Caenorhabditis elegans: one gene and its partners. The protein of the gene in region 1 interacts with the protein of each later gene in a pairwise test. Each region holds a gene or a part of one and is shown in the gene's direction. Other genes may lie near its edges. The genes, in order: ttx-1, rpl-24 and cdc-25.3.

Region 1 (4,758 bases):
ACCCATGTTAGAACATCTTTGTGGTGCTTTTAGAAAAATTGAAAAAATAAGTTTCAAAAATGTTTTTCTCAAAAAAATTTGTTTTTGAAATTTTAACTGATTTTCAAATGCTCATAACTTAGTACACATTGACCCGATAATTATAAAAAATAGATTTTTGTTTAGTTCATGAAAAGTTGTTTAAGATAACGTTAATTTCGAACAACTTGAAAAATAACAAAATAAAAATCACAAGGTTTCAAAAAGTGATACTCGAAAAAAAAATTTTTTTTTTAGTTTTCAAATTTTTTTCTTCAAATAACCAAAATTCAAATTTCCTTCTAGTTTATCAAAAGTTTTCTATCACTATTTTAACACCTACTAAACCCCTTCACTGTTAACACCATAATCACCGTATCCTCTCGTTTCCGGTCTATTTACCCATAACACATGCCTCCCCCCCCCCCCCCCCACCCGCATCGGCACTCGTTTGCAGGGTCCTTTTAAGTGACAGCCGACATATAGAGACTATATACCGCAAAAAGATGGGGAGGAAAGTTTGACAAGTGTATTAACACTTTTCAAGGAGAAAACGGACATCGGTTGGTCAGTCGAGAGTCAATAAAGGATTACCACTTGCTAGGGGTGGAGGGGTACTAGTTTAAAGGCGCATAACTTGGTTTGTTGTGGAGTTGTGAAATGGAATTTATTGTTTTTGGATAGCTGAAAAAATTTGCTACAAGATTGATGTTATAAGTTTTTTGATAGAATTTAGTTGAAAACCTGAAAAATCAAATTGAAAAATAAAAAAAAAAAATTCAAAATTATTATGTTATTTTAAACTGTCATAACATAGTTTGTTGGGATGCTAAAATTTTTCGCTAAACACCTATAATTTGTGAACATGTATAAATTAAACTGAGATCTGGAAAAAATGTATTTTGAAAATATTTTCCAAAAAAATTTTTTTTCCAAAAATTTTTTTTGTTCAATTTTTTAGAATAGATTCTTTTCATGAGCACCCTACAAAGTAATAATTTTTGTTTTGTAGTAGCTGAGACAATTTTTAACAATACTGGTATAACTATGATGTGTTAAAATTAATTTGAAAATTTGAAAATCGCAGTTTAAAAAATTTGAAATTTTGACAATTTTTGAAAAATGGTAAAAAATTCATATCAAATTTTTACTACGTTAAAAATTCTCAAAATTTGAATTTCCAGGTGCTAAAATATTCGAAATATTTGATTTATGCTTCGAAATTTTTTTCAGATTTTTTTTCAGATTCTCAGAATTTTCAGAATTTCCAGACCGCCGCGTTCCCTGAAAAAATATGTCGAAAAATTTCCCAATATTCACAAATTAATTTCCATTATTATTATGATGCATATTAATATTAACATATATATATATATATATATATATATATATATATATATATATATATATATATATATATATATATATATATATATATATATACCTACGTAGGTATAAGATAATCTCTACAGCTCATCCCAGGATCCCCGGGGGGTACTGTAGTAGCTCCATTAGACTGATTGGAAAATGGATCAGAAGCCGCCCCGAAAATCCCTGAAATCCGTATTTCATTTGTCATATATTCCTGCTTCATGTCCTTGACGTCTTCCTCAGCTCCATCCGACTCTATTGTTGAATTGGTAGGTCCGAAAAATAATTTCCAAAAAAAATTTTTTTTCTTAAAAGTTTTAAAGCATTTTTTTCTGCGATTCCTTTAAAGTCCCATTAAATTTTTTTGTGTAGCTTGTAGCCTATGAAGCTTATTAACCATTAAGCCTTTAGCTTAGGATTTCAGATTTCAGATTTCAGATTTCAGATCTCAGATGGTATTTTAGGAGGATAACCCGTTAAAAACCGTTTAGAGGGGCTTGAAGCCGGTTTTTTAGGCAAAACAGCTTGAAAACAATATTAAGCAGTTAAAATAATTTTAATTGAAAATTTAGACAAAAATTCAATGCAAATTTTCGAAAAAAAAAATTTTATTCAAAATTTTTTTTTTTTTTTCAAAAATTTCCAAACTGCTATTTAACTATATACATACCTAAAAACATTTCGAATTGTGCTTTTAGACCTTTAAATTCCCTTGAATTCAAACAATTTGAGTGGCCAGTTACTGTAGTTTAGGCTCCGCCCCTCACCGGGGGCGCCAATGTAAAACCTTCGTAACTTTGCTGAAAATGGACCGTTGAAGCCAGTTTCAATTTTGTTATAAAGCTCAAAAAATGAGCAATTTGAGCAGTATGTATAACGTTCAAAGATTTGTCACCAAAAAAAGTTTTCAAAATGTTTTTTTCAAAACTTTTTTTGAGTTTTTCATAAACTTTGACTAGCCATAACTTTGCTTGAAATGTACATAAAAAGCTTATTTGTAGTAAAATTTAAAGCCCAGATCTGTGAAAAACAAGCACTAGTAAGTATTGTAAACTGCAAAAAAAATCTAAAAACTTTGAAAATTTCAAATTTTCTGATTAAAAAAATTTTTTACCGAATTTTTTCTTTAATTTTCAAGCTATCATAACTTGGTTTAAAATTGTCTCATTTTCGAGGTTTAAGCCACATCCAAAAGAAAAATATATTGACTATAAAAGCAGCTAACGTCACATTGTTTTGGGCAAAAATTCCCGCATTTTTTGTAGATCAAACCGCAATGGGACACTTTATAGATCTGCTCAAAATTAATATACTACCAAGTTACCATATATACTTGAGTCGCCTATTTTCAAGCTTTTAGGTTAGTATAATTTTATTTTGTGAACTGTGCACAATTTTACGCCAACTGTAAAAATTCTAGGTAGGTTAAAAAAAATTCCAAAAAAATTTAGTTTCCCAAAAAAAATTTTTCCTCCAACAAGCAAAAAGCGAAACAGATTCCATTGCTTAACCCAAACTAAATCAATTGTTTTGTTTGATGAGAAAGGTACACACACACGGGAGATTACGGTAGCCAGTACCACACCACAGTCCCAAAATTGGAGGCAAACAGTAGCGCTCATCACGATGTGCTCGCGGAGCAGCGTCACGGATGCGTTGAAATAACAAGACACGCTCCGGTTGATTATATATCAAAAATTACGGTTGCGGGAGATTTGGGGGAAAAATTTTTTTTGCGTTTTTTTGGGGGCCAAAAAAAAAATTTTTTCATAAATATTTCCTCTAAAATGTCTAAATTTCAACTGCATAGTGAATTTTTTTGAAAAACATTGCCTAAATAACACAGTAATAAGCTTTCAAATAGTATAATTAAAGTTAAAATTGACCAAATTTGAAAAAAGTTATGAAGGTTTAAAAATAAAGCTAAAATTAAAAAAAAATTCAACTGAGAGTTTCTAAAACCAAAAAAAAAAAGTTTTCGGTATGTGTATATGGTTTTTAATAGAATTGTTTAAATAATACTTAAAAAGCACAAAAATTAATATTAAAAAGATGAACAAAATTCAAAGTCGGTTGATTTTGAAGAAAGTTATGAAGATTTGAATTTGGGGTTGAAAATTTCAATTTTTTGGAAAATTAAAAAATTAAACAATTGATGTCGAACTTTCAAGATTTTTGCTCAGTTTTTTAACATATATAATTAAAAATTCTATAAGTACGTAAAATAAACATTTAAACAATTCTAGACTTATAAAAATAGATCAATTTAGAAAAAAGTTATGATGGCCTGAAATTTTTTAAAAATGTTTGAAAATTTTTTTATGTCCTTTTCCAAGAATTTCAAAATGCACACAATTTTTTAAAGTGCACAGGATAAGCATAAATAGATCAAAAAAAAATTTCCAAAAAAAAGTTGTTTTTTTGTTGGAAATAATTTCACACTTTCTAACTAAATTTCTTAAAAATAGGGTCAGTGCACAATTAAAACCTACAGTTTCCTTTTAAAAAAATCAATAAAGCAATTAATAAGGCCCCCCCCCCACCCACACCAATTCAAAACTGCAGGGGTGGGCTCCTCCCCCCGCCCGCCGCCGTGTCCCCAACATTGGCCCGAAAAGTGGGCGGAGCCAAACGTGGTACGGTCACAAAGCGTAGAAAGCATGGAAAACAAAGAGAGCGGCGAGAAAAATGGGCGGTTTATTTGGAATGGATTGGCGTTGGCCGAGAAAATCGCATTTTGATGCCCCGTGAGGAGGGATGAGCCCTTCTTTTGGGTGCCCCAGGTATCCCCCCCCCCCACCGGGTTCGAGTGTTTAATACCCTAAGATTTAAGGACATAATCCTAAAAAGCGGATTTTAGCAGCTTTTTCGGGGGGTCCCCTCCCTCCCCCCACCCCATCACCCCGCATACTTACTTGTGCATTTGTTATCACCTGATTCTTTTTTGTATTGGTAACTGCTGCGTAAGTGATACAATGGGTAAGTATGCGGGATAAATTTTAATTTCTTATGTTAGATTTAAATTGAAAATCTTTCCTTCAAAATTTGACATTTCGGTTCGAAAAAGTTTTTAAAAAAATAAAAATAAAAAACAACAAAAAAAATTTGCTGGTTATTCTCATACTTTGAGCACTGATAACTTTACTTAAGCCTGATATTTTCTGCTAATTTTTTAATTTTTTGAGTAGATCACATATTGGGCTTTCGATAACATATAAATTTAAATACAAACCTTTCAAAACTATCAGGAAAATTGACTTTTAAAATTGCAACTTTTTTTCAAAATTTTTTTTGTTGTTGGTTGTTCTTCAACTTTGAGCACTGATAACATTACTTGGAACCAATTTTTTTTGCAATTTTTTAATTTTT
Region 2 (3,655 bases), on another chromosome or scaffold:
TAATTTCTAATAAAAAATGCTGAAACAAGATGGCGCAATAGGTCAATTTGACTGTGTATTTGCAAAAATCCGACAACTTACGGAAATAAAAACCAAAGCACAGATCTACTCGGAAAATCGTGACAGACTCGATTAAAACTGAAAAGGAAGCTCGTAATGATCAGTGTCATCACTGGTGTTTTAATTGCTGCATATTCTACAATCATCAGGCTCGACTGAATAAACTGCGACTGGTTGGCGGATATTGTGGCGATCACTTCAGTTATCTGCACAATTCTTTATTATTGATTTCTATTTTAATAAATGTAAGGCATTACCGTTTTCCAGAAACAGACGGTTACCCTCCAGCCAAGTAAAAGGCCAACACATGACAGGAAATATGGATTTATGAGATGGAATTTCTGAAAATAATGGACATATTGAATTTCCTGTTATCCTTTTTCACACTTACAAGTGAATAATGCCAATACGACTTCGGAAGCCACCAAAGAGTTTTGTATATATTCAGATATTGTAAAAATAAAGCCAATACTGAATATAAAAACAAAGTGCATTCGAAAAATAGCTCTCCTTGTGTGAACTGAATATCCGGCCATATAGGATGGACGGAAAGCGTTACACCACTCGCTCTTGGGATTGAAGCTGGCACGGAAGGAGCTTGTGGTGGAGGTGCCGGCACTCGTCTTCGAGGCGGCATATCTTACTTAAATTCCACAAAATGTATTACGATTCTAGGCAGAGTGACAATGTACTTGTTGATGGAAAATTCACCGTTTTGTTTATTGTATTAATTCAACTTTTGATGTAACAATTTCATTAGAAAAACAATAACATTTATTGTGGTGGTGGGGCTCCACGGCCGAATCCGGCTCTGTAGACTGGGGCTCCTCCTGGTCCAGCCTCGGTGACCTTCTCGGTTCTGTAGGCTTCACGGTCTCCCTTCTCGCCTTGAGCTGAATATTTTCAGCAATCAATAAAAGTACTTGTAGGACAAAACTTACCGGCGCGTGGGGCTCTATCCTCGTGTGGGACACGGATCTCTCTTGGCTTGGTCTTGATGGTGGCTGGGACGATCTCAGCTGGAAGAGCGAGGTACTCACGGAGGTACAAGATTCCGGCGTCGGTCAAGTACCAGTAGTAGTGGCGCCAGGCAAATTGCTCCTTAACCAACTCGCGGGAGGCAAGAGACTGTAATCACAATAGATTATTGATTTTTTTAATTATGGGAAAAATAACTCACCTTCAAAGTCTTGATGACCTCAAGGTTGGAAACTCCCTCGATGTTTGGGTGAGTCTTGGCATTGAAGTCTTTCTTGGCGACAGTCACTCCCTCGTTGAAGAGGTACTCATAGATGAGCTTGGTGTGGCTTTTCGGGATGAACATGATGACCGCAAGTTCTGAAACAAATACACAATTTATAACAATGCACAATTTTTTACGAAATAGGAAGAGATTTTTTGGCGATTGGAGGAATCTTCAAAAGTAGGGCAGAAACAAGAAAAATCGATTGAGATGCATTATTTTTGGGACTCAACAGAATTCCACCTGGAAATTCAGGATTGATTGCTTATTAGAGTATAAATTTTCACTTTTTTAACACAATAAGTCACTAAATTTTCAAAGAAACGGGATTTTGGAAAAAAAAATTGAAAGAAAAGAGGTACAACGAAATTCTTCCGACTAATGCATTACATAGGGGCACACACGCAGCGACACAGAGAAACAAGTGATTTTGGTTAAATTCGCACAGCCGAAACGAGTGTTACCGTACTCTTGCTGCGTAGCGCCCCTATCTTTTGCATTAGAGGAGTTTTGAAGAGAGGAAAGAATTTTTTCGTTTTTTTTTCGAGGCCTATCCCAACTCCTTGTTCACGAATGTTTTAATTTTGGGAATAATTGATTATTGGAAATTAAATTCGTTATTTTTATAAGCTACAAACAGATCCTTGATAATTGTCGTTGATTTTACTTTATCCTAAATTTATCTCAAAAATGTTGAAATTCAGATTCGTCAAGCGAGGGCCTATCAACAATGAAGGTCGAAACCTGCGTTTACTCCGGATACAAGATCCACCCAGGACACGGAAAGAGACTTGTCCGTACTGACGGAAAGGTGAGTTCAGTTTCTCTTTGAAAGGCGTTAGCATGCTGTTAGAGCTCGTAAGGTATATTGTAATTTTACGAGTGTTGAAGTATTGCAAAAGTAAAGCATAATCACCTTATGTATGTGTTGGTGCTATATCTTCTAGTTTTTAGAAGTTATACCATCGTTAAGCATGCCACGTGTTGAGTGCGACAAACTACCGTTTCATGATTTATTTATTCAAATTTCAGGTCCAAATCTTCCTCAGTGGAAAGGCACTCAAGGGAGCCAAGCTTCGCCGTAACCCACGTGACATCAGATGGACTGTCCTCTACAGAATCAAGAACAAGAAGGTACTTGAGATCCTTAAACGCAGTTGAAAATTGGTAATTTTACAGGGAACCCACGGACAAGAGCAAGTCACCAGAAAGAAGACCAAGAAGTCCGTCCAGGTTGTTAACCGCGCCGTCGCTGGACTTTCCCTTGATGCTATCCTTGCCAAGAGAAACCAGACCGAAGACTTCCGTCGCCAACAGCGTGAACAAGCCGCTAAGATCGCCAAGGATGCCAACAAGGCTGTCCGTGCCGCCAAGGCTGCTGCCAACAAGGTAAACTTTCTACAATATTTATTATAAACTTTAGCATGCTGTTAGAGCTTGTAAGGTATATGTGATTTTACGAGTGTTGAAGTATTGCAAAAGCAAAGGACGGGCACAATTGCCATGTGTTGGTATTATTGCTTCAAGTTATTTGAAGCTGTAATATCAATAAGCATGTCTCGTGTGAAGTCCGACAATTTACCATATGCATGAAATTTAAAAACAAGTTAATTTTGTCAATTCTTTATCATTGGTTTTCAGGAAAAGAAGGCCTCTCAGCCAAAGACCCAGCAAAAGACCGCCAAGAATGTGAAGACTGCTGCTCCACGTGTCGGAGGAAAGCGATAAACGTTCTCGGTCCCGTTATTGTAATAAATTTTGTTGACCGTTAAAGTTTTAATGCAAGACATCCAACAAGAAAAGTATTCTCAAATTATTATTTTAACAGAACTATCCGAATCTGTTCATTTGAGTTTGTTTAGAATGAGGACTCTTCGAATAGCCCAGTACAGTGTTCTTACTGTTGGGTTCGCCATTTATATGTACCGACTGATTGAAGAAATTCCGATAGACATAAGGAATTTAAATTCGGATTCTCTCGAGGGGATCATCAACTCCGATGAACTATGTGATGTCACCGTCAGCAATAGGAATCGTGGGCTTTTAGTTCGAAACGACTCTTTAGATCTTGATATTTTGAAAGCAAAATTCACTACATTTTTCAGCAAAAGATAGTTAGTTTTCTGGACTTATTAAAAAGGATAATATGGTTTCAAAAATTCAGTCTCACTCGATTTCTAAGCGAACAAGTTCCTTTTCTGCACGTGATCGATGAAGCTCTTCTCGTGAAACGATTTGTGATGTGTGCATGCTTTATGGTATTCTGTTTAACAGTGATCTGGTTTCTGGTGATTCGAAGAATGGGAAATCTCATTAAAAGATTGTCAGTGCTGAATCAGCTGGAAGATGCGG
Region 3 (4,095 bases), on another chromosome or scaffold:
ACAAAAAATATAAAAATTTCCAAAAAAATATAATGATTAATTTTCAGTAATAAATGTCAAAATATTTTGATTTTTGAGTTTCCATCCTCACACAACCCCAATTTACTATTTTCTCCACTTCGTCTGCCACTCGAAAACTACTGCCATTATTGTTGTTTATCAATTTACAGACCGTCAAAGTCGCAAAAACAAGAACTAAGGATTATTCATGGAAAATCCCAATGATTATTCGCAATAACATTCAAATATGCACTGCACAACGGGATCCCGATTTGGCAGAGTGCCAAAATCCAGAATAACCACTGCCAGTTTTTGATTCGCAGGTGGTTGGTAATGGGCTCGCATCTTCTGAATTAATAAAAGAAGAAAGACTGAAAAGAAAGAGAGTATACCCACAATGAGACGAGTGTGGAGATGGGAGAAAATATGAGAAGACTACACTACACCTTAGACATCTTAAATCTATATCTGGATGAGAATGTACAGAGCTGTATACCGGAAAAGAGTTAGTTGTAAATGTGGGAAAATTGTAAAAGTGTTCTCTAATCTTCAAAATCATTGTTGCTCTATTGATTTTTTTGTTCTGTAGGTAGTTTGAATAAATCTTATTTTCAATTGTATTAAACAGTGATTCGAAATTCAAATGACTCGAAGAATAATATAAAAACTGTTTTAGAAGTAGAGTAGCGACAGTTGGAAAATAGTTTTCAAAAAAGAAGCACCCCTTTACATGGGCCAAATGGTGCCTGAACCATCCAAATAAAACTTTACAAAATATTAATGAGACAGTGAAAAATGGAAATTTTGCTGGATTACCCGCATATTTGACATTAATTTCTAAGAACCTTAGGTTCCGTTATCCCAGTAGGAACACTGTAGAATACTGTAGCCAAATATGAAATACCCTAAACTAGTATCACTACTGTTATTTTAATAGTTTGTCGCGTATAATTTGACAACAGAAGATTTAAGTTTCTCAAAAAATAACTCGGCATTTTGATTTTTGTCAATTTATCAAGTCGACATTGATTGAAAAATACTAATTGAAAGTTTGACTATTCGTTTTTATGAAAGTGTATTTTGTACAATAAACGTAGAAAGCTGTTGGAAGAACGAACACCTTGTTGAAGTGATTTTGATTTTAAAAGTTTATCAAAAATTTAGGAGCTTTCAATAGTTTCATAGAATGTATTTTTCACCAAAGGAATGGTTATAAAAAATTTCACTCTTGAAATACCAATGGTTCTTTCTGATCTAGATATGTTAAGAGTCAGTCAAGAACCTGGAAGCCGGTTTCGTTTCCTTTTATAGGTGGAAATTTTCTTTTTCCAATTTTTTCTTTTCCAATTTTTTAAAAATTATTATGGTATCCATCAAATTAATGATTTTCAATTGTTTTGCCCACAAGCCATATTCTACACCTTATACCAAAAATTTTATTTAAAATTGTTCAAAGTTAAATACAATTAGAGACAATTCTCACCGTTTCTTCCCAGAATCAAAACTTCCCAGTCGAATCTACTCATATTCTCTTTGTCTAATTCCCGCTCTAAAGGTGAAAACAATCGTAGGTCAAATTCTCACTCCCGGAAATAGGTGCACATCGCCACACTAACACGACACCTTGGCACACAATTGCGAGATCAATTGTCTTCCCAGGAGAACGGCCCGCCCCATTTTATATAGGTTATATCGATCTCGAGGGGGACCATATAAAAGGGGAGGGTCCATGATCATTGCGCGCTAAAATAATGTTTTATTTTATTGAGTGTTCATTAGGGTTTTCTACTGATCCCATTCCAATTCATATTAAACTAGACTAGTCAGTCTCTCTTTTTTCATTTAGTCTTCAAATCCATTCTATTGCATTCTTTCATTCAGGTATACCTAGTTCAGTCTAGCTCCAAGTCTCCTGATGTGCGTTGACGTTCCATGTGAAAACTGCATTGTTCGCAATGACGGGCTCCGGCTGAAATGTTCTGAATGTGCTGAAGGATCCTCGAAGCTATTCCCAAGGTTAGTTGATTATTTGTGTTCGATATCAATAAATCCATAATTTACAGACAAAACCGTCAACACTCTTCTGCGATCAGCCACATCTCCAACTCATCGCCACCCACTCGGAAACGAAGCATTGATGGAGGATATACATCTGGAACGGATTCTGCGAATACTTCTGAAATTGTGATAAAGAAAAGACTAACTTTCTCAAAAAAGAGCCATTCAACTTCGGAAATTGAGACATGGAATGCCCATCTTCAAGTGGATTATCATTTGGAAACCGTGACGCCTAGCTGTTCTACCGTATACCAAAAAATCACTTCTGAAACGTTAATTGAAATCATGCAGAAGCTATCGCAAATTGAGTTTATGCAGAAATATATTCTAATTGATTGCCGATATGATTATGAATATAATGGAGGGCATATTAAGGTTAGTTTTTGCCGTTTGTACTACGTTTCCAGACTCCAAAGTCTTAGTGTGTACCTTTAAGTTTACAGTAACCCTCGTAATTTATATTCTCTCTTCGTGTCCGTGTATCATTTTAGTTTTTCAATAAATAGACTCTTTCGAGAGAAAATGCCATATGAGAATGGGATACTGTACTTCTTAAAACTCGTACTTAAAGAATCATGAGTCCGTTCTAATGGGTTCTGTCAAAAACAGAAAACACATTTAATTTTAGAATTAATAAAAAATCTACTTTCCTTCGTGGCAAGACCCTTCCAAACCAAATCATGCGCCTTTAAGTGTGCGTTTCAGAAAAAAGAATTATAATAACTGTTTTGAAAAAATACCAGAAAGTTAAAACTGCAAATCTTTTCAGGGAGCTCAAAGCCTGTTCAATCCAGAAACTGCTGCAGACTTCTTCTTCAACAAAGATGGTTCCAAGAAAATCAACCGGATACCCATTTTCTACTGTGAATACAGTCAAAAACGTGGACCAACCATGGCGAACAACCTTCGGGAAGTGGACAGAAAACTGAATTCAAATATCTATCCGAGATGTGATTATGAGGAGATTTATTTGTTGGAAGGAGGTTATAAAAACTTTTACGCTTTCACGCGGGGATTAGAGAAGGAACAAAGAGTACAACTCTGTGAGCCAGATAATTATGTAATCATGTTTGATGATCGTTATAAGGCTGAGCTTCGGAAGCACCAGTTCCATAAGAAGAATGTTTCGAAGCCAATGAAGAAATGGAGTTCAACAACATCTGTGATATCTATTCTAACAACTTCTGGAACTCGTATTTCGACACTTCGTCAGACATGTGATCCCATCCATGAGCACGATGCGCATTAAGAATATGTAGTTCCCGGTATCTTTTAAAAAGGATAATCAAATATTTTGTACTATTTATTATGTTTAATTATAATTACTAGTATCCAGGATAATAGGATGTAAATTAACTTTGATAAATAAACTGAATGATTTGTCAATAAACTTTTTGAATTATCCACAGCATCCCTGAGTTCTTGGGTCTTGTCCAGATCGTTTTGTAATGTGAAGCTTCACGAACTCTTCAGAAGAACATGGATGAATGGCAATTGTGTTTTGAAGATCAGACATTGAAATTCCAACACGGAATGCTACTGCGTAGCCTGAAATAATTTAGTGCAATCGGTTAGCTTTTAAAGTTTTCGTATCTTGATCGATTATCGAGGTTGTTAGTATTACCTACCCGCAGAATATTGTGAGTTGATTGCCAAAAGTACGGTACCTGAACTTGACACGATAAAATTTTTTCGCGCCTGTAAAGAATACTGTAGTTTCAGACTCTCGATTCTGCAGAAATTTTGTAGATTTTTAAAGCTTTTTGATAAAAATTTATTAATTGTCTCAAGTTGTGATTAAATCTTTAAAAAATCGATAAAAATTCTACAGCAGCGAAAGTTTAAATTTTCAGTATTATTTAAAGGTGCACACTTTCTTTGCATTAAAAATTGTCGTATCAAGCCGTATTTTTGGCGCAAAAATAGCAGAATTTTGCGTATGTGTAATATTATTCATTCAATAAAGAAAAAGATAAAAAATTCAAAATAACAGATTTAGCACGTAAGTTTTTGCGAACAGATTATGGTTTTTCGAAC

The links.
Region 2: the proteins of ttx-1 (region 1) and rpl-24 interact in a two-hybrid assay, tested with the Caenorhabditis elegans proteins (one study listed by BioGRID).
Region 3: the proteins of ttx-1 (region 1) and cdc-25.3 interact in a two-hybrid assay, tested with the Caenorhabditis elegans proteins (2 studies listed by BioGRID).

What each region holds. Positions count from the first base shown.
Region 1 is NC_003283.11:20,061,027-20,065,784, reverse strand, and holds the start of ttx-1 (Homeobox protein ttx-1), read left to right. Parts: upstream 1-1,608; 5' UTR 1,609-1,610; coding exon 1,611-1,658; intron 1,659-4,364; coding exon of another isoform or gene 4,365-4,368; intron 4,369-4,758. UniProt on the Caenorhabditis elegans protein: Probable transcription factor. Binds to a motif including the sequence 5'-TAA[TG]-3' in regulatory promoter elements.
Region 2 is NC_003279.8:4,583,108-4,586,762, forward strand, and holds rpl-24 (Large ribosomal subunit protein eL24), read left to right. Parts: upstream 1-2,007; 5' UTR 2,008-2,033; coding exon 2,034-2,114; intron 2,115-2,141; exon of another isoform or gene 2,142-2,302; intron 2,303-2,335; coding exon 2,336-2,437; intron 2,438-2,482; coding exon 2,483-2,692; intron 2,693-2,766; exon of another isoform or gene 2,767-2,876; intron 2,877-2,944; coding exon 2,945-3,031; 3' UTR 3,032-3,069; downstream 3,070-3,655. Other genes in the region: tmem-39 (uncharacterized protein), read right to left, coding at 82-266, 318-401, 452-697; rps-10 (Plectin/eS10 N-terminal domain-containing protein), read right to left, coding at 835-953, 1,002-1,188, 1,241-1,384; D1007.10 (Gustatory receptor), read left to right, coding at 3,167-3,417, 3,468-3,655.
Region 3 is NC_003281.10:8,915,716-8,919,810, reverse strand, and holds cdc-25.3 (M-phase inducer phosphatase cdc-25.3), read left to right. Parts: upstream 1-1,881; 5' UTR 1,882-1,915; coding exon 1,916-2,016; intron 2,017-2,063; coding exon 2,064-2,433; intron 2,434-2,827; coding exon 2,828-3,307; 3' UTR 3,308-3,457; downstream 3,458-4,095. Other genes in the region: trxr-2 (putative glutathione reductase 2), read right to left, coding at 3,458-3,606.